3 linked regions of the Tribolium castaneum genome follow. The protein of the gene in region 2 interacts with the protein of the main gene of each other region in a pairwise test. Links are inferred from orthologs where the notes say so. Each region holds a gene or a part of one and is shown on either strand. Other genes may lie near its edges. The genes, in order: Ubc4; elgi; iron-sulfur cluster assembly 2 homolog, mitochondrial.

Region 1 (10,224 bases), about 220 kb from region 2:
ATTGTGCGTCCTCCTCACCGCCTCAGCGAACATCATGGACACATCAATGCACTAAAAAACCAAACAATCATCAAACTTGTGATTTGTGCCAAATCGCACAACTCACCTGGATTTTCGAACAATCCTTCATATGCCCGTCTTGTGGAATCGTATTAGTGACAACCACAGCCTCAAAGCACGCGTTATTAATCCTAGTTATGGCAGGTCCGGAGAAAATCCCATGCGTCAAAATCGCGTAGACTTTCGTAGCCCCAGCTTCGGTCAACTTCTCGGCTGCGTGGCAGATCGTGCCGCAAGTGTCGGCCATATCGTCGACCAGAATAGCAACCCTGTCTTTCACGTCTCCGACGAGCACCATCGAGGCCACCTCGTTGGCCTTCTTCCTCTCCTTGTGGATGAGGGCGAACTCGACGTTGAGTCTGTCGGCGATGGAGGTGACCCTCTTGGCGCCCCCGGCGTCCGGCGACACTATTATACTGTTCCGCCACTCGACAATGTTCTCCTTGATCCATTTCAACACCGCCGGTTCGGCGTACAAATTATCCACCGGGATGTCGAAGAAGCCCTGGATTTGCGACGCGTGCAAGTCCATGGTGATGATGTGATCGGCCCCCGCCACCGAGAGCATGTTCGCGACCAGTTTGGCCGAAATTGGGGCCCGACTCTGTTGAGCAAAGGTTCAAATTGGCATGCATTGGGCCGAGGGCGAGGGACCTAACATGTTAAAAGCTAAACAAAATTCCCAAGCCACTATCTAGCTAAATTTTCAATTAGTAAAATGACATGTCGGGTTAGTTAATAAGTCTTCGGTATTATTATTATTATCGCATGGTTTCAAGATCATTACATCATTTTTCGGATGATAATTTTTACCCAACAATAAACAGATAAACAAAAGTTGACTTCTGACTCCTGAATGTTTGTTACACGATAATAATGACTATTTCGTCAATGTAAAATTGTTTCACAACAGTACGTTTCCCCTTCGTTTTGTAATCCTGGCATGCAGTTCCGGGAATCATATACAGCGTGTCGCAATTACGCGCCCATTTATGATTTTTTTATTATTATTTGTTAATTGCGACGTATGAACGCTGTGTTTTGTATCAGTGTTATTAACAACGTACAAAGCTAGTCTAACTCTGGCGTAAAAACATGATTTTCAGACGACACTTTCCCAATAAGCCCCTGCAACATTCACAAAATTTAACAATTTTTACCCTGAATTTCCATTCGATTGACTTCCATTTTTCCACGTTGCGTTCGACGTCATTTTTATTCGCAGGCTAAAATAATCTCGTATCAGGTAAGTGTGTATGTGAATGTACGAAGGTGTAAATCTACTTTATTCTAATCGAATGATTTCAGTTAAAATTAAATTTTATTTATGGGAACTACGTTGCATAAGAGAAAAAATTGGAAATTTGTCAACAGAAACATTGAGAATACGAAAAACAGGTGCAATTATAAATAAAAATACACTTTACATAAGTTTCTTTCAACTTTTTAGAAAAAACTTCAATCTCTGTCACGTTAGAAAAAGTCAAGAATCATAATAATTAGAGTTTAATTATTATCACGATAGTGTAAGTAGTTCAACATTATTACATTACTTGATCTACTCTTGAAATATAAAACTATTTAAAGCAATGCATTTTGCTAAACATTCCACTATTATCAGTTTATAAACACACATGAACCCGAACTTATTGACGTATTTCCGACCATTTCAACTATTTTTAAGTTATGCTAATTAGTAATAGATATACAGAATCTTAATTAATTAAGAGAACTGTGGCTAGTTCCTCGCTTAGACGTCATTGAAAGCAAAAGTGGTTTTGCTACACAGATAAGGAACCAATAAAATATTTTTGTTCAAATTACTCAATAAATTGTAATAAACAAATATTTGAGGGGGAAAACAATTAGGGCAGGCCAGTTGGGACCTGCACTAAGAACACCCCGAATTAAAATGATAATATTTTAATGTTACTTAAAATTGCACTTGAAAACTGCCACAAGCAAAGAATTCCATTTACCTGGAACTCTTATTATTTCAAAAAATTACTGAAAGAGATAAAGATATTAAAAAAATCGTGATCAAGTGTATTGTAAATTTTTTTGTAAACGTATGATTTCTCTAAATTCGTTTGCTTAGTCCTGTGACAATTCAAGATAAAGGCGGTTGGGTAGAGCAGTAGAATGATGCACATGAAAAATAGTTTGTTAAAGAAAAATTTGGTCTTTTGAAGGAAAAGTAACACGTAATGTAATTTAGACACGTTTTGAAATCATTATTTCAGTAATTAAAAAAAATTTAATAATTTTTCTCGAAATCTGCTCTTCAACTGTAGACTCCCCACTAGTTTTTTTTATCTTGTTATTATAATACATAGTACCAATCAATCATTTGAATTTATAATTAGAGTAAGTTTTTATGGCTTCTTTTCTTGTATGGCAAGGCTGATTATTATAATTAATAAAACTGAAGAGTCAGTTAATCAAATTTCGAACGGTAATATTTAATTAGACCACGTTTTTGCCTCTAGATTACCAACTACATAAGAAAAAAACGCATACATTCAAATGAGTACATGTTGACAAAAAATCTATTGGCATTATTGAGCTATTGGTCATTCTTCTAATTTGTTTCAGGTGATGGCTAGGCATGGAAGTGTATATTATTTGTATAAAATTTTGAATTTGATATTTAAATACTGGCAAACCTTAATCACACAATCACTTAGTATTTATTATGATAAGAAATAGACTTATTTTTCCACTTTTGTGTCAAGAAAAACATCAATAAAATCTAAAAGTACACAATAATTGTAGTAATAAAAAGTAACAAATTAAAGACTGTCTTTGTTAAATGGATATAGCAAAATCACTTTTAATAGTGCAGTTACATTTATTATGCCTTTGCTAATATTCTAGTAAAAAGCCTTTATGACTATTTAACACATCATAAATCATATATTTCTTAAGCAAAGCAAACATGTTTGAAATACTTAAGTCGCGGCAGTGGCGCCCTCTCAACCACGTGCTCCTTTTGCCGACCTAACGGTAAACAAATTGTTTCAAATTAATAAACTACGTGGTCGGATTGAACTTGTCCAATTATTAAACCAGATGCTTGACTAATTTGTCAGGTCAATAGGAAAAACCACAACCCTAATTGTCCTAAAAACCAAAACTACGGTCTCCACAAACCCGCTTGCAGATGTATACAAAGTCACGTGGCGTCTAGGTTATCTACACATGTGCAGGTACACAATTGGAGCAATTGTGCACTCACCTTGTCCTTCTTGTCTTGCCGAGCGTACGGGAAGCATGGAATGACTGCAGTGACTCTGCTCGCGGACGCAATTTTGCACGCATTTATCATGATGAGGAGTTCCATCAGGTTGTCGTTAACTTCCCCGCTGCCCGACTGCACGATGTACACGTCTTCCCCACGGACGGACTCCCCAATTTCCACGCTAAAATAAAATAATAATAATAAGTCGCAATTTAAGCCAAGTCAATAAGCAAATAATTTCCAAAGCCCACTCACCATGTTTCCAAGTTGCTGAATTTCTTCGTAACCACTTTGCCCAAGTCGATCCCCAGCCGGTCCACGATCCTCTGGGCCAGGTCGGGGTGCGAGGTCCCGCTGAAGACTTTAATGTTCGGCATTCTGCTCTGGAGGATCAACGAAGACTTTTCCAACTTTGCCCGCAACAAGCTTTTAGCACGTACGGGCTGGGAAACGGGCATAACTGCAAAACGCGCAGCCAATCAGAAGCGGGGTCTAATGTTATCGGCAAACAACGCTCCAGAATGATAAACCTTGTGACGAAATACTCCCTGCTTATCGAAGATTTCCGTCGAAAATATCGCCGAAATTGTCAACAGAAATCGCGCGGGGGGGCCCTTACGTCATCGTTGCAGCAGTCCGAGGGAAAATCCCCGAATATTTGCGAGATTTCGGCCGATTTGGCGCGCGCGTAAATTCCGTAAAGTTGGCTATAATGCTATTGAAAACAAGTGACATTTCTTCATTTAGCATTTCATAATTTGCCTAACTTCAGTGAGAAATTAAAAGTGTGAAAATCGATCTTTAGCCAGTGTATTTTTTACTTTTGTCAACAAATCGCTATTTTTTAGAGCCACGGTTTATCTGTTATGTTTTACTGCATTTAGGAACTTCCCCACCAGAATGGCTAACATAGCAGCACAAAGGATACGACGAGAGTTTAAAGAGGTTATTAAAAGTGAAGAGGTAGGAACTTCGCAAACACTGTTTTTCTGTTATGTCATTCTAACTCCTAAACGCCACTTACCGTTCTCGGTTTCCTCGGACATTTCGAATTTTCACACTTGAAATTGTCAGTACACAACGTAAAATATTGATTACTGAAAAATGCCCCCTGCCATAAATTCAAAGCGAAGGGGTTATCACTCCAACGTCATTTCGTAACAATCAACAAACTTGGCTAATACGATCGTGCTTGTTTGAAATTTAGGTAGCAAAATGTGCCATCAAAGTGGAACTCTTAAATGATAGTTATACAGAGCTCAAAGGCGAGATCACGGGCCCCCCGGACACGGCCTACGAAGGGGGCACCTTCGTATTAGAGATTAAAGTACCTGAAACATACCCCTTCAATCCACCCAAGGTACGTTTCAACATAACCAGGAAAAAAAAGACTAAGAGTTTTGTAACAGGTCAGGTTCATTACGAAGATATGGCACCCGAATATATCATCAGTAACGGGCGCTATCTGCTTAGACATTTTAAAGGACCAATGGTGCTTTCTATTACGTGGTAGTATTTGTTATTAAATGAAATTCTAGGGCTGCAGCTATGACGCTGAGGACGGTGTTGTTGTCGCTCCAAGCGCTGCTCTCAGCTGCGGAGCCCGATGACCCACAGGACGCCGTGGTGGCGAAGCAGTTTAAGGAAAATATAGAAATGTTTCAAATGACGGCCAGACATTGGACAAATGTTTACGCAGGCGGTAATTTATGCAGTTTGCAATTAGGACGGCGTGACGCTCTGTTTGCAGGTCCCCATGTAAATAAAGAATGTGACGATAAAATAAAAAGGCTAGTTGATATGGGAGTGGAGGAGCACCAGGCGCGGGTCGCTTTGTCGTCGTATAACTGGGATATAGAAAGAGCAACTGAACAGTTATTTAGTTAGTGAACTATTTTAATCCGCCATTTTACTATATTCTCTCTACACTTTTCCAACAGTTGGTTATGAAACGCAGTTTCATTTTCTACCCAATAGATTACTGACTTAAATTATTTTGAAGGTGTACAAGATGAATAAAAGGATTGTTTGCATTTACCTTATGTCTCAGTAATCACTATACGAAAGTCTTGTTTTGGCTCTTGCGAACTAATTTCAACTTTTGTCAATATTGGTGTTTGAAATTTATTGATGTTACTGATGCTTATCGTTAGTTCTTTCGAGTACAAAGTCTTTCAATTAATTACGGTTTATTCTTGCTAGTGAAAACCACCAGATTAGTTTTTTAGCACTTCAAGTATGGTAATTGAATGAAATGCTTTGTATAACCACTTTCCAATTAGTTACTGTTTTTATTTGTAAATCGGCGATTGAATACTGTTAAAATAAAATTTTAATCTTGAATATACAGGCACTGAGGTGAGTTACAACCCTAAGACAATCCACGTCCATTTGAAACTCAAATACTCCATGAAAATAAAAGTTGCGCATTAACTCTTAATTTATGCACTGATTATGCAACAGATTTACATAAGTAGCACCACGAAAGGTCGAGACTCCTTCGGTACTATTTCAAAATAGATTTAAATTCAATTACAATCACCTATTATTAGTCCAGTCATTGAATAATTTCAATGGTCCAGTCAAATAAGCCTGTAAATCGAAATGTTCAAAAGCTCGCTTTTTTTATATAAGTTACATGGAGCAGTTAAAAACGTTTAGACAAAGAATTTTTTAGTTGAAGAAACGAAATTAAAGCGTTTTTTACAGATTATTCAAAATCGCTGAAAGCTAGAAAAAAAAGTTTTAAACAAAAATTGTAAAGCCGAAAATTTTGCATAAAAATGTTCACTTGACTGTTTTTGATATTAATATTAACAGAAAGTTAGGGCGGTTAAAATAATATACATATACTGTAAAATCTTGTCATAACACTTGAAAAAAAGGTTGTTTTTTGTTAGTATTTTGGCATCGCTGCGAACATCTTTAGCTTTTTTTGCAAAATTTTTATGAAAACCTATTCAAATTACACCAAAAATTAAGGGTTTCTAGTCTTTTATAAGCAAGAATTCCTAGGAAATCTGGGCTTATTTTCGACCAAAAAAGAAGAAAAATTGGCGGAAAATGTATGGTTTTTCCCGTTATCTTAATTTTTTTATCTAATTAACATGTTTTAGAAATTTTTCGAAAAAACGAAGATTTTCGGTAGTTTTTATTCGAAAAAAAAAATCAGGTAGATACATTCTGTGTTTTTGGTGGCAACTTAAAACATATATAACAGGACATAAGTGTAAAAACCTAAACCCGTCCTGGCTAAATCAGGACGGTTGGTAACCTTAGATTAAAAGTAATTTGTTAATTTATCATTTTTAGAAATATGCTGCGATTTCACCTCGAGCAGATTTTGCGGTAATTTTATATTGTAATAACTGTGAGTGTTCCAGATATTGAAATGATTCTTACATGAAAAACTTATTTAAGTTATTAACTTCATTTCATATCGAAAAATTCATTACACAGGACGTTACAAGAAAATGTAATTTTTAGTTTCTTTTTATCAAAAGTCAACCTTGTGTAAATACGTAAAACTGCATTATTTACGGTGGAATCTTTTACAAAAAAAATAAATTTCTAGCTTTATCCAGAAAGAAGATACGGGATGTAATCGCAAAATTTGTCCAATGTTAGGTTTTTGTAAATTTTTACTAAAAAGTCTTTTTGACCCCTTCTCGGGAGTTGGAACAACCTTTGTGACTCCACAGTAATATAAAAAACGCAAGTTTTTTCCAACTTTTCGATTTAAAGGCTTATTTGACTGCCAGCAGGGAGGAAGTTCATAATCGTGAATTATTTGTATTTTTTATTTTTATCAGTTATCAGATGAGTTATTTTTCACTTAGTGGTTACGAAAAATCCGCAAAAACATTTCCGTGTGGTTATTTTTGCGTAAAAATCTTATGCAAGGACGTGAAGGTCGTTGACGTTGAAACGTCCTTGAGTTTGACGTCGCCATTTGACATTGACAGGATAGTTTTTTGAGGTTAGGTTGTAAATTTATTTGAAAAAAAACCCAAAAAGTAATGAACTTGGATGACTACAACCACGGAGGTAACCATAAACTCGTTATTCCGTGCGAATTATCACACAAGTCAACCGTTTCAGAAAATGAGATGGAAGTTGAAGGCTCTGAGGACTACCCCTTGCAGATAATCTCCCCGCGCGTGGAGGAGATCCACCCCTTAGCATTAGTAGCAATAAACGTAGATAATAACGAGCCCCCCGCCACCTACAACGACGTGGGGTTCCCCCTAGTGCCACAAGCCAACGAAATCGAAAGACTGTCCCCCACCGAGTCAGTGGCGAGCACCCCCCAGACCTTCGACGAGGAGAGCAACCAGTCGCGAAAGCGCACCTTCGAGGACGAGGAGCGCGAGGAGGACGGCTCCGTGTGCCCCATTTGCCTGGACGAGTGGACGAACACGGGCCCCCATCGGATATGCGCCCTCAAGTGCGGGCACCTGTTCGGTGAGCAGTGCATCACCCGGTGGCTGAACCAGAACTCGCGCAAAACGTGCCCGACCTGCAAGGAGAAGGCGCGCCGCCACGACATTCGCTACATTTACGCCAAAAAACTAACAGCAATTGATACAACTGAACTGGACAATATCAAAAAACAGCTGGACTCGGTGACCGAACAGCGCAACAAGTTCCAGACTGAGTTGGCCACGTGCGCCTACCGCGAGCAGTTGCTGAGGCAGGAGATCGCCCAGCTCAAGACGCAACTGAGGCAGAACAATGTTCCTACTTTCAACCAGCCCATGGTGGAGCGCGTCAAGCTGTACATGGACAAGGCGATGGAGATTTGCAAATTCGGCGGAAGCCGGGTTTTTGACGCGCGCTGCGAGCTGGACCTGCTCATGGCTTCGATGAAGTCGCCCACGAATTTGTTCGCCGGGTTCGGCTTGAAAAAAATAAACATTTCGGGGTACAGAACAATCGCGTTCATTCCAGTCCATACGTTGCAAATTAGAGACATTTGTTTCCACAAGGAACAGAACTGGGTGCTTACAGCGTCCATGGACAAGACCTTTAAGGTCATAAACAACCACGAGAATTCGGTTGTCCACCAATTCACCCATCAAATGCCCCTCTGGTCATGCTGTTGGGACGAAAACAACCCATACGAGCTATACGTAGGGACGCAAGCTGGGTCGGTTATAAAATACGACATTCGGCAATTAACCGAGGCCGTTTGTACCTTTTCCATAGAAGGGGACATGTCTCCGGTGGTTTCAGTCGCGTCGATCCCGGCAGCCCCGGGCGAAGCCCTGGCGCAAGGGGGCGTCGTGTCCTGCAAGTTGAACTCGCTCTGGCTGTACGAGAACGCGAATGGGGAGTACAAGAGACACCCGATTTCCTTAGAGGGACCATTCGTTTCAATGAAATACCAAACAAACACAAAGCAATTGTTAGTGTCTTCTAGGCCCAATAGTCGAATTACGTACGCGAGGCATACTTTAAGTACCTTGGCGAGGAATGAGGGGAAAATTGACTGCAATATTCTGCACACGTTTCAAGGGGGCGGCATGCAGAAGTTGCTATCAAAGTCGTGTTTTTTGTCGCATACGAGTGATTACGTTGCTGCCCACCAGGAAAATTGCAAGAGTGTGTTCTTGTGGAGCATCAATACGGGGCAAAAGGTTTGCTCCGTGACGGCGCACGAAAGTGTTTTCGATCTGAAAGGGTTCCAGAATCAAAATGGTAGTTTTCTGGTTTCGTTGACTGATAAAAAACTCGAGTTTTTCAAATTTGCTTAGGCGGTTTTTAAAGTTTAAGTATTAAGTATTAGGTACACTCTTCAATTTTGTTACGGATCACATTTTGACCATACGATTTTCAATAAATTATTTATTTTTTTTACACATCGGCAAGTTTTAATCCTCCCTGTAGTCTCCCGGTGTCTTTACAGCACCGTGTTGTGATCACAGTGCCTTGTTTTTATGGAATTACATGAACAAATTAAAAAAAATGTAGGTATTGTAGATTACTACTATAAGGGCCCCTTCAGCACACAACACCTTTTAAGCATTTTGACCTTGTTTTCAAAGGTATGTTTAAGAAAAGCAAAACTATATGGGCTTGTTCGGCACACACCATTTTTTATCAGATCTACCCCCGTTTTTCAAGGTACCTTTGTTAAAAGTTAAAATTCGCTTTTTGCCCTGTTTTTCTATTGGGCCACTTGAGCACAAAAATGAATACGGTTTCGTCCAAACAAATTCGGAATGTGATCCCTCATGAGAGTCCACAAAGTGGACTAGTGCGTAGCGAATTCACAACCCTGTTTTTAAAGGTCTATTTAAAAAGTAAATACTTTAATGATTTTGCCCTAATTTTCTAAGGTAGAAGGTATGCTCAAACTCATGTAGGTAAAAAAAGTCAATTAAAAGCAAATAGAATTAACAAAAAAAATCAAGAAAAAATGGCTATAGATGCCTGGAAAAATAATAAGGGTATAGCGCTGAAAATTTCTGAATATCATTAAAATATGTAGAAAATCACACACCTCAATTAAATAAAAAAATGAAGCGAAATTCTTGTTTACCTACAGCAATAACTGAAATTCGTAAATTACTATTGGAATTAATCATACAAAAACAAATTGATCGAATTTTTGGTCTCCTTCTGGGGCCCGTGAAAACTAACCACAACCAAACTGTGAATAAAACGGAAACTTAAAATAACATTTTGCAACTTCGGTCAAATGTCAAAGTGGACTATTGCTACCTAAACGAGGTGTATATGACCACATCGAAAGTAAATAATAAGATAGCAAAATTAGCATCTTTAATTATATCAATAGAGCATATTTGGAACAAACTAATTAAAGAAAATGTTACAATAATTATTAGTCTTGATTTCTTTACTTATGTGCGAGTACATAATAAATACTAATTAAAGGATTCCACACTTTTATTACAAAA
Region 2 (10,885 bases):
GCGTGCCAACAAGGTAAAAAAATTCAAAATTTGTCCTTACGGAACCAAAATTTAAAGGCCTAAGTCACACACCGAGCGGTTTTGCCAGTTGCTTGATATTTTTCCTGGGATATCTGATGGCGTATTTATTGTACACCGGTTTTGCGGCTGCTATAACTTCAATTCTGGTGGAAAACGTCGAAACTAACGCTAATTTACAGAACCTCAGAATCGATAAACTTCACTTGATCAGTCCTGAGTGCACCCGGAGCGAGATAAAACAATTCAAAGAAAGATTTGTAATTTCTGAGTTTATGTGAACGACTTTGCAACAACTGTTTCAGCTTGTAACAGAATACGTCTCTGACTTAAATGCTCTATTTGAAAAATTGGATATAAACGACAGGATCGGTGTGGGCCCTGAAATTTCATTACAGCAGTACATGGTGAATAATTTGGGCCTCGACGAAATTCTATCCTTGCAAACAATGAAACTGAATGTGAGATACACCCAAGGTTTTCTGACGCTGCGTAATAATTCGTGGAAAAAAAACATAAACAAACAGTAATATTTAAGATTGTTGGAATACGTTATATCATTGTTTTTCAGTGTAATTGCTTTGGACGAGTCTGGAATATTGCAAAAAATTCTCAAATCAAATTTACGGCCTGTTTCAACTCTCAACTTGAATCCTGGGTATTCAAGTGCCGGTCGTGAACACGTAGGATCCGCAATTTTACTGTTTTTAGGCGGTGTTTTAATCGCGTTATTATTTCTCGTGTCCGAATTCGTGTTTTACTTTTACAAACGGGGTCGTAATCACATTAACATATAAAAATTTACTTGTTTATTACAAGAATTGGCAGCACATAAGAACTACAAAATGCCCAACAGAAGTTAAGTACATTTAAGCCTCAATATTAATCACATTACAAAATAAATAAACATCGCACCCCCCAAAACCCTAACAAAAATTAACTGCAAGAAGCTACACAAATGTATTTAGCTCTTTGAGTTCCTTTGCTAGTCCTCAAAACGTAGGGGAGCTTCGAGTAGAATTTAGTGTTTGATATTTCCATACCTCCATTCAAAAAATTTAGAAATTAAATCACATTTCTGACGTGACTAGTGTTATGTCAGACCAAATCCGATCGGATGTAGGAACGACTTTGTTGTGAATTTTTGAGATCAAATGTCAGATCATTAAACTATACATAACTAAAACGAAACAAAACGGGAAAACCGCACATCCACCAACATTCAAGTCTGCGTCAGCGTTTCCGTTATTGTTGAAAAATCAATATTAACAGCAAATTCTTTGAAAATGCAAAAGTAATCAATTATCCTGGCGGCAGGAATTATTGATGACTTTACGCATTATAAAATCGACAAATGAACACGTTCTGGAACAAAATTGATGATGCAGTCAACGTTTATAATAATTTCTTGATTGCAAAAAGTAAGTTCAATAACACTGGTCTGCAAAAAAATTCTCCCTATTATTATAGGCACTCATCATATATATATGATGCTCGAAGACACAAACTTTTTGTGTAATAAAAAATAAAATGTAAGTATTTTTTAAATTTGGCCTTGCAATCGTTATTAAAGACTTGACTGATTGGCTTCTCCTCCAATTGGAAAATTTAAGGATTGCTATAATATTTACAACAAAAATTATGTGTAAAATACAAAAAATCAATAAAACAATTAAAAATCCTGGTCGTTGATGACGTCACTTTCAATATTCGTGACGCTCCCGGGAGTTTAGACACAGTCAATAATTATTAATGGTTAGATCTCTCATTGAAAGTATAAATTACATTATTATTATTTTTTAAAGTGCATGAATAATTTATTAAATTTATAATTTACATGCGAATACAATCAAAAACACAAGAAAAACGTAACAAAAACAGTTGAAGAGAATTAAATTTTCTACAAACGACGTTTAAAGCCCCTCAAGCGGCGAATTAGTTTCATTTTTACCGGTGTTTAAATGACCCATTAAAGCTATTTATACGTAAACGGGTGAAAATGTTTTAATAAAGTAGACCACAGCCTTAATTTACTTTTGGTTCATGAATAATGGCACATTGCAGTAAGTTACAAAACAGTTAATTTGTTCAAGCTGAATAATCCTGTATCATTAGTGCACTTCCTGTCAATTTTCTAATTTTACGAATTCTAATTGATAAAATTGACTGCATCACCACCAGAACGGAACAATTTGTGGCACTTACAGACCCCAGATTTTATAATAAAGCAGTGAGAAAGATTATGATTAAACTTAATGTAAATTAATGTATTTAAAAGGAATGTAATTAAAAAAAATAAAAACAAAGAGGGTTACTCTATACCGTGAGCAAAAATCATAACTAAACCTGGCTCTACCATCATGTCTTCGCCCATATGCGTATTGTCGCACGCCAGTACCAGCACAGCCTGCTTGCCCGGTACTCTTTTACAAACATAGTTTTCGTATTGTCTCCTATTGTTTTGCCTGGTCTCCAGCGAGCTCAAGCCGGGGGGCCACCTCCTCTCGTGACAATTTTCCATTAGATCGTCTAATATGTGGTTGGGGCACCCCATCTCAGTTAACGTCCTTCTAATCATTCTCTGGAAGGAAATTATGAAAATTTCGCCACTTGTTGATTGAACCTACTTGAAGAACTTCATCTGGTGTCGAGATCATCCCTCCCCATCGGGTGACTCGCGCCCTTTGGAGAAAGTTGCTCCACCTTAAGACTTCATCTCTCTCCATTGCATCAGCTATTGCCCTCATTGAAGGGTTCGATATCCTCATGGCCCTCATGAACTCCTTCAGCAGCTGCATTTCGCGCTTTTGCTCGTTGATTAGGAAGCGCTGCTCGGTGATTTCCTGCTGGAAGTCGTTCATTTTCTGCTGCTGGGTCTGTATCAGCGCTCGCAGTTCTTTCACGCAATTGTGGTCTTTCAACTCATCTTTAGGAATCACTAAACCACAGCCCTTCTCACACGGTAAAGGTCTCTTAGGATTATGTTCGCATTCTTCAAGGTGGTTCGAGAGAGAGTCTAATTTTAATACACGCGTACAGCCATACTGAGCGTTATCACAATTTATACACAGTCTGGAACAAAATATTGAATCGAACGGTTTCATTTCAGACTTTTTGATTACCTAGAAAGCAAGTTTCGTAAAATTCGGGGCACTGGGCGCAGTTGCGCTGATGTGACACTTTGTCGGTCCACGGGGCATGTGGGCTGTCTTGTGATCCATTCGGTTATGCAGGACTTGCAAAATGCATGCTCGCACACAGGTGCCTGCAAAACCAGTAAGACTTTTTCCATTAAAAAAATAAGTAAACACACCTGCAAGGGGTCCTCCAGTACTCCCGAACAAATGGGGCACACCAATTCCTCATCTACATCTCCTTGAAACCTATTAATATCAAAGCCCATTTTAACAGTAACGACCCATCACAATTTGCACGGATTTTAGCACTGCGATTTATTTATAAATTGTAAAATCATATGTGACAAATGTCACCCATCAACAAAATGTCTGACACAGAAACAAAAAATTTAGGAAGTTTTGTCTGTTAGGTTGGTCAGGCGTGATGTTTCAGCTAACCTAATTTTTAAGTGCGTATTTATTTTAACTTTTTATGCTTACAAATAAAAAAATATTGGATTAATACGTGTTATTAACAAAGAACAGTGGTCACATATCGATTTATTTGGTGAATTGTATATTACAACATAGTTTTGTAGGGGTCGTAGTCATGAGTAAGCCAGTTGTTTCCAAACAAAAATCCAAAAAATACTACTTTAAAAAAACTTCCAACAAAAGACTGAGCTTGGACGTGAACTTGCGGGGCTTCCTCTGCAGTTGTAACAACAGGGAAAAGGACTGCATTAAGGAATCTTACAATTTACTAAACGAATATGCTGACAAATTGTACCAAGAGAGCAACGAACCTGAAGCTGAGCAAGACATTGACGACTCGTTGGCTAAAGAAATATCCGAACTGAAGCAAGACAAGAGTGAAAAACGATTCCAGGTTATAGAATCTGGTGCCAAAAATTTCCTATTCATTAGGACGAGTTTGGAGAATCCGGTTGAGCTAGCAGAGGCGATTATAAAAGATGTTGATGGGAGTAAGACCCAAAGAACGAAATTTTTGCTGAGACTGATTCCTGTGGAAATTACGTGCAAGGCGAATGTGAGTGATATTGTCAACGCATTTGTGCCCCTCGCCCAGAAACACTTTGTGGAGTCCCCGCAAACGTTTTGTGTGATCTTCAACCACCGGAATAATAATGTTGTTTCGCGGGATGAAGTCATAAAATTAATTGCAGCGAAAGTGTCCGAGCTGAGGCCTGATCATAAAGTTGATCTTAAAGAGGCAAAAGTGGCTATTATTGTTGAAGTGATAAAGGGGTTTGCGTTTTTAAGTGTTATACCTGACTATCTTAAGCACAAAAAGTATAATTTATTGTCACTTTGTAGTCAAGAACAAGTAGCTGATTGTAATTAATGTTGCAATAAAATTTTCTATTAATATAAAAATTTTATTTCCAAAGTTTTGTTCTAGAACAGATACATGGTTGCATTGCTACAACATGAGTACACATAGTGTAGGTTTGACTATTACCATTGTTTAAAATTTCAAAGTTGCATCATAAAATTCAAAACATTCGTCAATTTCAAGAAGTTAATAAACATTAAAGTAATATATGGTAAAAGTTTAATATCTTTATGCTTAATGGTAAATAAATCTTTGTACAAATAGGAAAAGAAATAGAAAAAATACAGTATTTTAAATGCACTGTGAACATTAAGCTCAAAAAAATGAAACAAATACCACTTCCTAAAAGATTTCATTGTTAATTATACTATCGCTACTTTATTACATCGGTTTTTCAATCAAAATTAGGAATTATAGTTTGTTTAAAAATATAAATACTTACATTATAAATTCACAAATTCAGTTATGCTAAACAATGGTGACATAATATGCACAATTATACAAGTTCAATTGCCTATGTAAAAATATTCAACCTTAAAATTAATCACTGCCTAAAGCGGTAATTTTTATGAAAGCTTTTGTGGTGGAAATTACGACGGTGCCGGTTGCCCGAATAAAACGGCTTGTAACCGTTGTTCTGACTCCAGTTCTTAGTGTTGTGAAATTCCTGAAACAAAAATACGATATACAACAATTCATACAAATATTTGAATACGAAACGACAGCTAAAATCACTCAATTTTCTATATTTTTATCCAAGAAGTTTAGGAAACTATTTTTAAATTTGCAAAATATTTTTTAATATATTTAATAGCTTTTCAAAAAATATAAAGAAGCTATTATCGGAACTAACAAATTACTCACTTGTACGGGATTGTAACCAGGATTAGACTTGTAGGAGTTATTCAGTTTTTGATGTTTGACTTTGCCTTGGTCCGAATTATCACTCAAAGCTCTCTTTCTGTCTTCTCTCCTTTCGTTGCTAATTTCCTTATCTAGCTGAGACCTAGTACCGTTCCACGAGGAAACAGGTGCCGAATACCCACTGTGGGACATTTTGAACAATTCGCTAACAGTCCCATCTTGTTTTTTCTCTCCCCAACTTTTACTCTGCGTCGTTGGTTCAGTTGAAGTAACCTTCCAATCGCCCACTGCCGCCTTCGTAGAAACTCTATACTCCACATCCTGTGGCGACTGATTCGATTCGTCGGAACAACTCGAATCGTCCGTCTCATACGGAACCAATTTCGTAGTAACCGGCTGAAATGACCCTTTCTTTTCCGCATTTGTTGAACTAATCGGTGTTGTACTATTAGTATTGCGTGGCGATAACGTCCGATTCTTTTGCATTAGTGGTGATTTGGCGGTTTCCTCGTTATTTATGCTAGGCATTGATTTTTTCGGGGGAAGCGGAGGTGTCGCCACCGGTTTGTTTTCTTTTTGTGGACTTTTTTGCGGATTTTCCGGTTCGCTGTCGCTCGTTCCGGAACTCTCTGAGTGATTTCCGTTACCGTTAGTGACCGGTGTGGGGTTAACACCGTTGATTTTCTTTTCTACTCGGTCGGGGGGCAGTTCGGGGCCGTAGACTTTGTCGCTCGTAAAACCGATACCGTTCAGTGAAGCTTTTGATGTGTTGTTGCTAGTATTTGCTTCGGGAGAAAGCGGAGGTTTTATCTTGTTGTTTGTCCCGTTATTTGATTTGGTAAATGGAGATGACTCTAATTCGTACAGCATTATGTATGCGTTTGTATTGAACACAGCTTGGTGAGATATCACCCGCACCTGTGAAGGAAGGGAGAAATAAATTTTTCGTCAATTAATTATCCCCTACATAACGTTTTTGTAGACACACATGTTTGTATTATGAATGCGTAAGTTTTATAACTGTCCCTAATCATATTATTACACAATTATGGGGCGAAAAATAAGCAGAACCTTGTAGGTATTTGGGATATAATATTTTTTGTAACATGTCTTACGATCTTGTATTACATGGTATGTCACTGATAAAATAAATTATTGAAATAATTCTTATTAGAATAAAAAAATGCACCCTGTTGTTTTCCTTGACCTATTTTATTAGAAATAATGTATGCTCCAATTGACATTTAGCTTTCATCAAATGTTAGTTAACGTAATGAAAGTCGGAGGATATCTCCTTCAAATACATTTTTCTTAAAAAACTGACGATAGCACATTTACGATGCTTATTTAATATTTTTTACTTAGAAAAACTTTATTTTACAAAGGTTTAATCAGTGTTTAATAGTGCCTGGGTCACCAAATATGAAGCAATAATTTCATAGTGTAATTTTTAATGGAAACTGGTCAGTTTGTCAATGTTACTCTTACCATACTATCATCAAACTGGTAAAAATTACCAGACGGCGCTTGGGCAACTGCAGTGTAGTGGCCACAATTAACAGTAGGTCCCATATGTGTGACTAAGGCAACAAGTCTATAGATCAGTGGAACACTGGGACGATGTCTGGCATACCTTGTTAGATCCAGTCTTTGTCGAAAATGTATATGTTTAGTAATTTTATTATTGCTAACAGAAAACCGTTTGAGTTGTATACAAAGAACCATAGGGGCTCTTTCAAGGGAGAACTGTTTTGTTGCAGGTACCTAGACAAGAGAAAACATAGATAAGTAACAAAATCAAACTTTTGAATACAAATACCCACTTTTTTCTGACAAGACTGACAATGATACGAGTCATCGTCCAATTTTTCCCTAGAGAAGTAACCTTCCAACGCCTCGTCGAGCGTTTGAGCTTTCCTAATGTCTAATAGTAAATCTTGAAAGTGTTGGAAGGTGGTGCTGACGTGACCACACTTCAAACATCTCACTGCCGATCTTAAATATCCGCCTAGTATTTGATTGAGAGGTGTGGTCTCTTTCACTTTTGAATCAAATTCGGAATGGTTTTTAAATCGACTTAAATAGGATTTTTCCATTGCTTCCACTAGATATCTAAGAAATTCGTGCGCATCTTCTTGCCGACCCGGGATGAGGTTTCGACACACCAAACGCAGCTTGTTGTAGATGAGGAGAGGACGGATTGTGTTTGTGTTACGTTGTTGGGAGTCTTGGAGAGTCTTCCGCATTGCACATATTATGCACAGCCCACCTGCAAAACATAAGAAGCTCTCAGTCAAAAAATTCACTCAATTATTTATTAAAAATTTCGAAATGTCTTAAGTTTCGTGATTAAAAAGCACATGCTATTGCTTTATTTGCTCATTAAAAACCACTTCTAATTCTAATCATTGCTTCGATAAGAGTTCTAGAGGTAAGCTAAACAGTTATTGCGCAGTTGTATTCACAATATTATCTTAATTGATCAAATATATTGGCGCCATTCTCACATTTTTATATTGTCGTGTATAGAAATTCTGTTTATGCGGCTTAATAGTGAATAAAATAATTTAATAATAAATAAATTAATTAACATAATAACAAGGCCAGTCAGCTTGCAATTTCCGTGTAAAATTTTTGTAATGCTCGTTTACAATTAAGTATGTTTGTGTCACAATGACAGTTTCAAAATTGAGAGCTTTCGTAATCAGCCCAAAAACAATTAATGTTTATTTTTTAATCAAACAGATGTGAACAGAAATAACTAAGACAAAATCGTCAATATTTTGGTAACAAAATAAATAAAAAATAAAATTAAAATTAATTTTTTTTCAAAATATACACCAAAACCCGGAACTTCCAATTTTTTTTACTAAAATTAACATGAAAAAATTTGTTAGTGGTGTCAACTAAAGATAAGAGAGTAACATTTCTGTTAAAAAAAAGTCGCTTCAAATTCTCAATACCACGAAAACTGTCAACAAACAGGAAATTTTAATTTTTACTTTTCTTTTCAACGGTAAATAAATAAAGGAAAATCAGAAATAGTAATCAACGAAAGAACCAGTGTACTGAAAGATTCTTTGACCTTGCCGGTAATATAGACATCTACACTAATCATATTATTGGAATTATTTTTTTTTATTATTTGAAATTTTAAAACAATACGTAAACAGCGAGCAGAAGTGTTTTAAATTAAATGTTAAAAATGATTATTATGTAAATAAAATTTTCCGTTTAGAAGATTTGATGTTTTACTTGATAACACTAGATTTTTTCCATACTGTATTTGCTCAACTAGATTTAGAGCTTATTTTTAATAAAATTTTGTAAATAATAAAATGCTTGTGGTGAACAAACCTGAGTCCTGGCATTCAGCTGTGTGTTCCTTATCAGAAATGAGCCAATTGACAAGAGCGGGAACGTGGAAAAGTGCTTGAAGCGTAGAGTTGAGATAACAGGTATTTCCCATGTTAATCATGCCGGCCCCCACTGACCAGTCACATTTACTCCAACCTAACTGCACAGCTTCAAAAGGATACAGCTCGTAACTAGCCAATTTGAGCGTTTCATCCGCGCCCATGTCTCCCTCAGGCTTGCTGCGGATTGAGCGAAAAATCACAAGAGCCCCTCAAAACGGCGAAACTCACCTGGGCTGCGGAGTCTCCGAGCTTTTCAACACGATGTACTTCGACTTGAGTTTGTCCAAGACGGTGCTTTGGTAGCTCCCGGCCGGCTCGAAGTCGATGTTGGACAGGAGGGCCTTCTTGGTGGATCCCGCCAACTGCGTGTCCAGAGAACTGTCGTCGGTCTTGGTGAGGGCGGAGCGCAAAGCCGCGTTCACGGGCTCGAGGGTGGACGCCGGCATCCCTGTGACAGCTACACGTGCCAGAGAAACCCCGCGTTGTGGCGGCCACCTACCGTATTGTCTGGCTTCGAACGGTGCTAGCTGGGGCTCGGGGGCTGTCGGTGCAGCATAGTCTCGAACACTGGCTCGGGGGCGAGTTGGCGCGACGCGGTTTTTTATCAGATAACGCCAATTGCGCGATTTATTTAGAACATCAGTGGCACCACCAGAATTTGCTCCGAACGACGATTTTCAGCTTGTTGTCACTAGTGCGCATGTCAATTCGCCCCAAGGGCAGCGCGACAACTACGAGCTCTTTTGGTATTGAACCGTACTTTTCCAAATCTATAATTTTTACGGAGGGTTATTTGTTATTGCTTTAGGTCTTTTATTATTAAATATTTGCCAAGGCTCAACACCCACACATTTGATTCTTATTTCAATGGTTTGGTTATTTTTGTTTTTGTTAAGGGGTTAAGGTTACCGAAATTTGCCGTTAACCAACTTGATTTTTTTTGGAATTTTTTGGAAATTGCCAAATGTTTCTAATTTTATTAGTTTTTTATTAATAACTCAATTATTGTGCGCAATAATGATCAGTGTAATTTTACTTGTTATTATTTACTTTAATAATTAAATTTTTGAAAGGTGAATTTGTCCAAAATTGAATTCCTCTGTGGAAAATTTTAACTTGTTAAAAAAGGGTACCTTAAAAACGGGTACATTTTTTAAAAAATGTTGTGTACTAAAGGAGGGCCTTGCTAGTAATTAATTGCTATCACCTTTTAAGATAAGATTCGTGTGTGACGTAATTTGTTGATTATACTTTTACGACACTAATAATACGTATTAGTCGTAAAAATAAAATTCAATGCGTTTCCATGCAAAAATTTTAAATTGTAAGTAAAAGTTTGAATTTAAAATATAAATTAAAAAAATACTTGATGTGAGCAACCAGGAATACGCATCGGCACTACGGGTAACATACACAGGGTGTCCCAGCAAATATCTTTAAATTTTTTCCTAAGCCGTATATACTGACCTCTGGGTGACTGATGTGCGAATTATTTGCGGGTTATTTCTCAAATTTTCTTAGACGGAATCAAAAACACTAATTGCACTTATGGCTTGATATTGCGTTTAAAACTGATAATGATGTATCGTTCTCTTTGATGGGATTTGGGTTGAAGAAAAAAAAATGTAATGGGAACATGGTATTTATTTGGGTTTATTGATTTGTAGACAAAGACAAGATATATCACATTAATTAAATATATAGAATACAATATTTTGATTTCAATTGACATACAGTACATTAAGCTCGTTATGAAGGGGTGAAAAAATAAATTTAGTCTGAAAGCTCAAGCTTCATTATATTTTATCACACAGTCGGAAAGCGTTAATAAATAAATAAGCAAGGATTTTGATTGCCGCGTGGTAAAGTGTGCAAGATATGTATAGGTTCTTTACAATTCATATAAACTCTTATGAACAACAGTGTATATATAAATTATTATCTTTTTTAATAATTATATGATTGTTTCATGTGCGTTAATAACGTACTACATTTTTATATTATGGATTTACGATTTAATTATTTTCATAATTTTATGCACGACAGTAATAAAATTATGAAGAACAACGCGTACTACATACATAAGTAGAGGTTTCCTAACACGTGTAACA
Region 3 (9,082 bases), on a different chromosome or scaffold from region 2:
CCAAAAACAACGCAGTTTTTGTATTCTTTCTCGGTTTATTCTGGTTACTAATTCCAATAGTTTTACAATATTTAAAATAACAAAAAAAATGTTTGTTACGTCATCTGTTGATGATATTTTTTGTGTCATTTATTGCTGCTGCATGCTATTTATTGCTCCATTTTGTTCTATCGAAGTAAAGTTTAGTATCATTTTTTGTGAATCAATATTTCTACAAATAATAATAATAATAATAATAATAATAATAATAATAATAATAACATAATTCATTTCCAACTGACTTCTTAGTCTAAAGTGGACAATATAATACTATAGTGGCGGTCAGCTCGGTTTGCGTGTGCGTCATCAATTTCATTTTTTCATTACCAACACAAAGCTGTAAAAAAATTATCAAAAACAATGCAAATTTAAACAACTAAGGGGTGTCTAAGGGTGGTATCCTTGAACATTAATTTACATATGCACTTCGACAACACCATCAAGTGTCACGAATTTGTCAAACTGACATTGACAGTAAATTATAGACGTCATCGCATGGTTGTCGAAAGTGTTATCGGTGTTAATCGCAAGTATTTTCTGTTCGTTTATTGTGTTTTGTGATTTGCGTTTCGTTAGGTTTTTGATTCTGCGTTTATTAGTTCTTGTTTTGTGAATCTGTATTTTTTGTAACAACTCATAATTTAAACACTTCGTAACCTCAAAAAATATTTGATAGTTTGTCACCGCTATGCCCCTGCTATGTAAACGTAGTGACAGAAATGTCAGATGACGCACACGCAAACGGAGCTGAGCGCTACCATAAATAGACAAGTAGTCCTTACAATATAGAAACAATACCTACAATAAAATATATAAGAAGAAATACAAAAAAGAAAAAACCCTGACTAAATTAAGACAATCATAACACTTATACAAAACAGTATAAATTACGAAAAAAAATATTCTAAAATTTTAACCTTTACAGTGTATTTATTAGGTTAGAAATTATGTAAGAGAATTTCGGTTGATATTTTCTATAACTACTATAATGTTCACTTGATTCAGAAAATAAGAGCTGTTAATCACACCATATAAAAGTTTTGCAAAAACTGTATATTTTGAGATATTTAAATTTTTAGTGAATTTGCTCCAGGTTTTATTACTAAGCCATTTTTTTGCTCTTAAAGCTTTTTTTTCTTAATTTTTTGCTGCTATAAGCAATTTGTTGTACCATGTTTTGCCCTCAGAAACTATTTTTTCCAACTTTTTGCGTCATTTTTTGCTGCTGCATCTAATTTTTATGCCATTTTTTCTCTCACAATCTATTTTCTCCCCTGTTTTTGCTATTGAAGCAAATTTTTTACGCCATTTTTTTGTGAATACAATAGTTCTTCAAACAATTCAACAAAAAATAAACTGCGTATATAAAGATACTTAAATTTTTAGTGAATTTTCTCCAGTTTTATTACCACAAGCTATTTTTTGCTCCTGCAAGAAATTTGTTGCTACTAAACGACATTCTTTGTATTATTTTTTGCTTCCACAAACAATTTTCTGCTCCTATTTTTTGTGGGCACGTTATAACGTTTTATATGGACTATAAACAGACAAAAATAATTTTGAAAATTATGGAAACAAGAATTCAACAATCTAATATTGACAGATAACATGTTTTTTAAGTACATTATTCATTCGCAGTTGTTGCAATTTTTTTTAAGTTGAAGCAAATTTGTTTATGTTTAAGATAGACTTTATTAAGTTAGGAATTGTTTAAGTTTTGGTATTATAAATTAGTTTATTTGTCTGTTTATCCTTGGAGAGATATTTTTTCCACAAACTTCTGTCTCTGTGTTTTCAGTGTTGCCAACTCAAAATTTAAAGTCACACATGGTACAATTAATCTACTTAACGAAACTTACTGATTTAACGATATTATGGAATCTTTTTAATACTCGTATTAACATCCTGTGGTACTTTGATATAAAAATTTGTCTAATAAAAGCGCAAACGACCCAAGTAATACAATTGATTCAACCATTTTTTTTATGTTAGATTTATTTCATCTTACGTTTTTCTAAAACGGGAAAAGGGTCGCTTCCCACGCAATTTATTTTAATCGACACGGTGCGTTTAAAAAGGTTTTCACGATTTCATGGTGCAAGACAGCCACCGAATAAAAAGCTCGATGAAAGCTTTCGAACTCAATAAGAGAATCATCGCAAATTATAAAAAGCTCAAAAGAAGGATTATACATCAGGACAGTGTACCTAAAATTGGATCAATATTGGCACACTGTGGGTGCAGGTAAATATACATAAAAAATTATTTACACAAAAAAATTTCAGGTACCCATCTCGCCTCAGGTTAAGACCGCATGACTAATTACGTGTCCTTTAAGCTTTTTGTCATTCGATGCAGAATTTACTTGCATGCAAGGAGCGGAAGCGTTTCCAAGTTTATAACTTCGATTACAAGGAGATTACTTCATGCTTTCGACAATTTCGCAATTGCGAACAATTTTAATAGGTAGCGCAAAAACTAGTTTCGTTTTACGAGTTGCAAATAATTTGTTGCGAAATGAATAGTTTTATACAGTGCATAAATGTCATGTGTAAGATTTAAATTTGCACTTGCGGCGCTATAAACCATTGTAGAATTACTCGAGCTTTATAGACCTCGACAAGCCGCTAAAATAGTCAATCAAACCTATTTCCTTCATGCTCTGTCGTTCCACCTGTATAATTTAATACTATCTACACACATTAAGCACCCAAATGGGTTTTAATTCGCAAACACATGTCTTTTCTACCTTCAGGTAGGTATAACGTCCGTCAAGTAATATTCCCAAAGGGCACTTATACTGGTCCACTTCGAGATCTTTTTAGGGGATGCTTTTACGGATAACGTGATTTATTGCACATGAAATTGCGTGAAATTTTATATAATAGCCGATTTCACGGCAAGGGGACGATTTAAACGGTGGTTGGTGATTTATGGAGGATGTGTGGGAAGTGGATAAGCACAAAAATTAAAGAATCTTGAGTAATTATCCGAAATTGTGCCTTTTGATTGGACACGACGTGAAAAAGCCGGGATAAAAGCCCCGAATAATCTATCAATTCGTGCCGACGCGTCCGATATATTTTCGAAATAATCAGTCATAGAAATGAAGGGGTTGCACTTCTTGGGGTGACAAAAATGAGCGACACAAATTTTAAAAGTCTAGGAAAGTGAAACTTTGAAAGTTTTATACAATAGGTGGGTATACGTTGTTATTGCCAAGTTGGTATATACGGAAAATTTTAGTATGTTCAGTAAAAAAAAAACTAGTATTAAACCATTCCTTTGAAGAAGGCAACAGAATGCAGAGTTGATTTGAGATTATTTATAACCAATTTATAAAAAACATTTATACTATAAACAGCTTTGCCTTTGAATTTTTATTTTAATTTTTAATGAAAAATAAAAAATTAAATTTTGAGCGACATCTATGCAATTATTGATAAGTACAAAGTTACAGTGATCTGTAAATTTTATAGTGTCAAACCAAAACGTCAGTAGTGTCATTCAATTGTCAAAATAAACTAACCTAAGATATGTGATTAGAAAATAAATAATTGGGCCGATTTATGTAATAATTCGCCTAGAAATGGACAAACCAGGCGATTTGGAAGCAAAGTACCAAAAGCTCGCCACAGAATACTCCAAAGTGAATTATTTTAATTTAAAATTAGTGGGGCGGATCCGCTGACATCTCCAATTTTTGCAGGTGAGGTCGCAAGCCACGGTCTTGAAAAAAGCCGTTTTGGAGGAACAGGCGAAAAACAATGAATTAAAAGACACAATTAAGAAACACGAGCAGAAGATACGGAAACATGATCAAGAAATGGAAAGCCTAACTTTCCGAAACGAGCAGTTGACTAAGCGGATATCAGTGTTGCAACAAGAATTGCAAGTGAACAGTCACGTTAAAAAAGGGAAAAATAAAAGCACCGAGAACATCATTCAATCAGACACTAGTGTCCTGGACGAGGAGTTGCAGAAAAAAATTCTAGAAAATGCCCAACTTGTTAGCAGTGTAAATATTTATATTTGCTACTGTTGCTGGTTATTTTTAGGCGTGTTGTAGATGGCTGATAAGGAGTACGAGCTGAGCGATTGCAAGGAGAGAATCGCATGGTTGGAGAAAAGATTAGATAACTGTGAGAAAGAATATCACCAGAAGGAAACGAAATATTTAGAGGACATTGCCAAGCTTAAAAGGGCGAAATATGAAGTCGAAAAGAAGGTCGAGGAGCAGCACATGGATGTGCTAAATTCTGATGTTGCGTCTAATAAATCCAGTGAAGACCAGAATGAGGTATTTCTCTTCAAAAAATTCGGAAAGCTATAAAGTGCATTTTAGGTCACTTTTTGGAAAGAGGAAGCTGAGAGGTGGCGCTCTGAATGCGAAGTCCTGCGTTCCAAACCACAATCAAACGAACGGTTGACTGAATATTACGAATCTCAATTGGGCGAATTGTTGCAAGCCAAGCAAATGGCCTTCTCAGAAACCAAAACTTTGTGGGGTGAAAATCAAGCCTTATATTCAAGATTAGAACATCTGACTGTGGTAAACAAGGAAATAGAAGGCAATCTAGAGAAGAGCAATGAAGAGTTGCTTACCACTATAGAAAATTACAAGAGTCAGCTTGATGCAATGACTGAACATATAGCCGCCCAAAATGATAAGATCACGAAACAGTGCGACGAAATCCAAGCACTCAAACATAAAATTGCGAGCAAAAAGTAAACATTCCTTTAATTTAATAATTTATTTACATTATTTACTCTGTATAAATTATGCGGTTTGTTTAATCGACCTGTATTTATTTACATATTTGCAAAAAAGTCTAATACAGTTATTGCACTAATCTGTTTAATCCAGTCTGACAGCAAAAGACGACCCACAGGAACACCCTTGCTCAGCTAACGGGTTATTGACAATCCTGAAGGAAGATTTAATTAGTTCTTCCCGGTAGTCGACCGTCGCTCCTCTAACAAAGTCCAATGACGTTTCATCAATCACAACTTTAGCTCCATTTTTTTCAAATATTCTGCAAAATCATTTGTAGCTAAAAATACATAATCGGTGCTCACTCACTTATCGTCTTCATTAATTTTCGAGTCTAGGTCAAATTTATACTGGAAGCCCGAGCAACCGCCCCCATCTACACTCACTCTTAAGAACTCATCCGAATTTTTACTGATATTTTTCAAACGCTCGACGCAAGTGTCAGTGATAATTAATTCCGGTTTTATGTGCTCCAAAGGTTTAATTACAGGTTTTGAATAATTTCGGGATAAAAAATTACGCACACTATTAATTTTAAACGGATAGAACCGTCTCACTAACCCTGACATTTTCATAGGTTAGATTATTTTGGCAGTGCCATAATTTGACAGTTAAGCGGCTCTTGCCAACAGTTGCATCAAAACCAAAAATTACTAGAAATGCCGGCCTGGAAAGCTGAATTTTCCGAATTTGGTCGCAGATTTTATACAGTATACAAATCGAGCTCGTTGACTATTTTGGTCATTTACTCACTTCTTGCTCGATTCTCTGCTGTGAATTACAGATTTTATAAAATTTTTTAAACTATACAAAAAAATAAAAAAAATGTGGGCAGCGATATCTAGGTGTCGGAAGTCAAAGTACAATTTTACAGTAACCTGTAAATCTGCGACAGTTGGTGCCATTTAGGTTAGGTTAGCATAACCTCACAAAATTCACGTTTTTAATTTTTCTTATCACAAGACCGGAATTCTCGCACAAATCAAAAATGGTCGAGCAGCAGAGACAGAGAATTGAGCAAGAAATGACCAAAATGGTCAACGAGCTCGATTTGGAGTATTTGCGCAAAATGCAGGTACTGTATATAATTTGTGACCAAATTCGGAAAATTCAGCTTTCCAGGCCGACATGCATCGCTGCGCTGCGAAATGCTGCGACAACCGGGAAATCTCACTCGAAAGTGTTCAAAAATGCGTCGAAAACTGCGCCTCGTCCGTGAACTATGCCCAGAATTACGTCCAAAGAGAGCTAGAACAGCTCCAAAATAAGCTACAAAGGTGCGTTATGGACTGTAACGACGACATTCGGGTGAAAATGGGGCCTAATCCTTCGGAAGCTGAAGTAAAACAATTTGCCAAACTTGCAAAAATATATTACGTTTTTTAGGTTAGTAAATATACAGCGCTGTTTGAAACGTGTGCCAAAAACTGTGTTGATAAACAAATTGCATACATGCCCTCGCTTTTAAAACGAATGAAATCTGAACTAGGAAAAAATAAGTGAGGTCGAGCAAACTATATATAGTGGTTGTTGTTTTTAGTTACACTTGAATAATAAAACATGTTAAAAAAATTAATTTGTGGCTATTTTAACGGGGATTCCCCGTGCCACACATGCCGCTCGGGTTGCGTAGAAGTTTATCTCTGATGATTTTTTTACGGCACTTAGGGCTTTCAACAACTCTGGCTCGTGAGTGTGGCAAGTGGGTGGCGGATCAAAGTGTTGTTTTGAAAAATTTACTACAAAACAATTAACGCCGTGTGCGATTTTCACATTTTGTTTACCTTTTTCGCCTTTCTTCCATTTCGCCTTATCCAGGTGTTTCCAATGGACTTTTGAACACGGTATCCAGTAACTCAAAAATTCAGTCGCCAAAATATCAGTGTCCAGATCTGTGACCTCCCATAGCATTCCCACAGTACAAGGGCTTTAAAAATAAGATTTATTACAATTTCGCTGCTCCGCGGGCGCAGCCTGCGGATGTCTAAGATTAGGAAATGAAACGACCCAAATAATTAGTGAATTGGTTGAATTTAAAACGATTTGTCGTATTTTTTAAGTTCAGAAAATCCAACAATTTTGTATCTCGTTTCATCTCCTACGTTATGCTTCTCCCTAGCGCAGCCCGAGGGTGTAATCAAATTTAATAAAATAAAAGTTGGAAAATACCTGCAAGCAATTAAATACACATGAGAGGCCGTGGCCATTTCACTTTGGGGCCCTAGCCTCGTCAAGCGTGTGCTGCCACAACCGAACAAGACAACAACAGCATTTATCCGAATCTTCTCAACGTTAGTTGCGGAGAAAAAATGCGAACCGCTCCCATGTCCGTTATAACTACAAAAGAACTTAAGTTTTCCAATTTCAAAATTATTATTTCCAATTACGAGAAAACGTCTCCTGATAAGAGCAGTTTTACAAACTGTTCACTCGTCGGCCTCGCACCGGTAATCCCCTCCCATGTGGGTAACCAATAATCACAGAAACTTTCTATCCGATTTTGCATATTAACCAAGTCTAAGTCTGGGTTAATGAGATATGTGCCACTTTGTGGATTTTTTAAAATTTTAAAACCACCCTCCATACTGTCTTTGTGCTCTTGATATAAGGCATAAGCCAAATGTAGGGATGGTAGTCTCGAAACTGTCGTTTCTGATAAGATTTCCATCATTTCCCAAGGGTAAATGTCTAGGCTCTGCGTAGAAAATGATAATAGAAAAAAAACTGGTGATTTTAATTAACTCACATCATCAATAATTAAAATTAAAGGGTGCCGTTTCTCTTGGAAAAGCTTAAATTCCTCCAACAAGTCCCTAATGAACTGGCCAACACTTCTTTGTACATTTTTTTCCGGGAAAAGGAATTGTAAAGCGCTCCGTAATTCAGTCATTTTTAAATAATAATAACTCTTTATTAAATACTGCACAATAACTTTGGTTTTCTCATCCAATTTAAGCCACGGAAATCTACAAATAACATAGATATCCAGTTTTGTTTGAGAACTATCAAGTAATAAATTTACGTACGATTTCAAAAAATTTTGACCAAATTTTTCGGCAAAATTTCCTGAAATTCTTGGCCCAAGTATGAGCGAAATCACTCAGGAGTGGCTGTAATTATTGTTGTTATTTTGATATTTTTATTTACATCATTATCGCGACCAAATTTCTTGGAATAATTTAGTTTAAATAAATTAAATAATGTAACTCAGATCCTTCTTGGTAAATATGTTATTTCGTTTCGACAAAATCCCGCAAAATAAATCGAGTTGCTAGCCCAAAAACAATCTAATCCACTTAAAATTGAAAATATTTCTCGCACTTCAGCCAATGTTTGTTTGGAATAAAACTTAATTTTCTTCCCTTGGAGATTAAGTGACTTACTCTGTTCTAAAAAAATCTTCAATTCGTTTCCGTATTCTGTTTTCTAAATCACTGTTGATGTATTTTCCCATAAACAAACACTTCCACTCTTTCAAATACAAGTTACTCAAGTCCCTGACAACCATCTAGAATGAATTAGTTACGACCAAAGAATAATTTACAATAAAAATTCTTACTTCTAGCCTGTCATCAATTGACTTTCTCTGGCAATAGTAATGATGTTTTTGCGAAACGTTAGCAAAATGCTTTTGTTTGGATGATTTCAGTAAGAGTTCTTTGTTGTCTGCAAATATGGAGTGCATTTCTTTGGCTAGTTCAACAGGAGCCCCCTTGACACTGTCATGAGGTGCACTAATACTGACACAAAACGGTTTGGGTTGGTTTGGACCACAGTTGAACACAGAAATGTACAATGGGTTTGTGTGATGTTCATCTGCGGCTATTTCCACGTTCGCTTTGCAAGTAAATTGTGGTGTAATTTGAACCAAAGTCCATTCTGCAAGAGGGTAAATAAAACACTCAGTTATTTATTAATTGTTACCAGGCGGCATTTCTTCAATTTTGCTGAGTAAACTACTGATGTTCTTCTTGATTTCTGTGTTCGGGCAACTCGAGGCGACATAACTCTTGTCCAAAGACAATAACTTTACATTGTCTGTGACTGAAGATAGAGTTTTCTCGTAGCGTATGGCGGTTTTAAGCCGCAAACTTGGCACATGAGACTCGACTAGATGATGTATTGCTTGCAATTCGTTGCTTTTGAGGCACTTGCAGGCTTTAATTCTTTCCAATCCTGTGACAATCAAAATTTAGGTTAGGACCAAATTGGTGTTAGCTTACTTTGATAGAATAAACCGGAGGGATAATGAAGAGGGGGCAATTGCCT

What was found.
Region 1: the proteins of elgi (region 2) and Ubc4 interact in binary tests that used the Homo sapiens proteins (3 or more experiments, as listed by UniProt). The link is inferred for Tribolium castaneum from reciprocal best matches to the Homo sapiens genes RNF41 and UBE2K.
Region 3: the proteins of elgi (region 2) and iron-sulfur cluster assembly 2 homolog, mitochondrial interact in binary tests that used the Homo sapiens proteins (3 or more experiments, as listed by UniProt). The link is inferred for Tribolium castaneum from reciprocal best matches to the Homo sapiens genes RNF41 and ISCA2.

What each region holds. Positions count from the first base shown.
Region 1 is NC_087394.1:31,290,535-31,300,758, reverse strand, and holds Ubc4 (ubiquitin-conjugating enzyme E2-22 kDa), read left to right. Parts: upstream 1-3,845; 5' UTR 3,846-4,201; coding exon 4,202-4,264; intron 4,265-4,325; coding exon of another isoform or gene 4,326-4,347; exon of another isoform or gene 4,348-4,479; intron 4,480-4,508; coding exon 4,509-4,661; intron 4,662-4,710; coding exon 4,711-4,793; intron 4,794-4,839; coding exon 4,840-5,003; intron 5,004-5,051; coding exon 5,052-5,188; 3' UTR 5,189-5,644; downstream 5,645-10,224. Other genes in the region: Prps (ribose-phosphate pyrophosphokinase 1), read right to left, coding at 1-51, 107-664, 1,221-1,286, 3,299-3,482, 3,557-3,761, 4,326-4,347; E3 ubiquitin-protein ligase RFWD3, read left to right, coding at 7,321-7,348, 7,403-9,057. UniProt on the Homo sapiens protein: Accepts ubiquitin from the E1 complex and catalyzes its covalent attachment to other proteins. In vitro, in the presence or in the absence of BRCA1-BARD1 E3 ubiquitin-protein ligase complex, catalyzes the synthesis of 'Lys-48'-linked polyubiquitin chains.
Region 2 is NC_087394.1:31,068,000-31,078,884, reverse strand, and holds elgi (E3 ubiquitin-protein ligase NRDP1), read right to left. Parts: upstream 3,422-10,885; coding exon 3,141-3,421; intron 3,091-3,140; coding exon 2,646-3,090; intron 2,600-2,645; coding exon 2,330-2,599; 3' UTR 816-2,329; downstream 1-815. Other genes in the region: uncharacterized protein LOC103312325, read left to right, coding at 1-13, 58-278, 324-544, 590-815; THUMP domain-containing protein 1 homolog, read left to right, coding at 3,745-4,500; scny (ubiquitin carboxyl-terminal hydrolase 36), read right to left, coding at 5,036-5,158, 5,356-6,273, 6,844-7,119, 7,179-7,624, 8,713-8,951, 9,003-9,220. UniProt on the Homo sapiens protein: Acts as E3 ubiquitin-protein ligase and regulates the degradation of target proteins. Polyubiquitinates MYD88. Negatively regulates MYD88-dependent production of pro-inflammatory cytokines.
Region 3 is NC_087396.1:12,842,664-12,851,745, reverse strand, and holds iron-sulfur cluster assembly 2 homolog, mitochondrial, read right to left. Parts: upstream 5,506-9,082; 5' UTR 5,389-5,505; coding exon 5,123-5,388; intron 5,076-5,122; coding exon 4,898-5,075; 3' UTR 4,779-4,897; downstream 1-4,778. Other genes in the region: protein phosphatase 1 regulatory subunit 21, read left to right, coding at 3,629-3,688, 3,749-4,057, 4,109-4,339, 4,385-4,771; protein FAM136A, read left to right, coding at 5,802-5,888, 5,936-6,154, 6,200-6,316; uncharacterized protein Sse, read right to left, coding at 6,386-6,552, 6,598-6,740, 6,983-7,150, 7,201-7,508, 7,560-7,779, 8,197-8,321, 8,373-8,692, 8,738-8,989 and 1 more. UniProt on the Homo sapiens protein: Involved in the maturation of mitochondrial 4Fe-4S proteins functioning late in the iron-sulfur cluster assembly pathway. May be involved in the binding of an intermediate of Fe/S cluster assembly.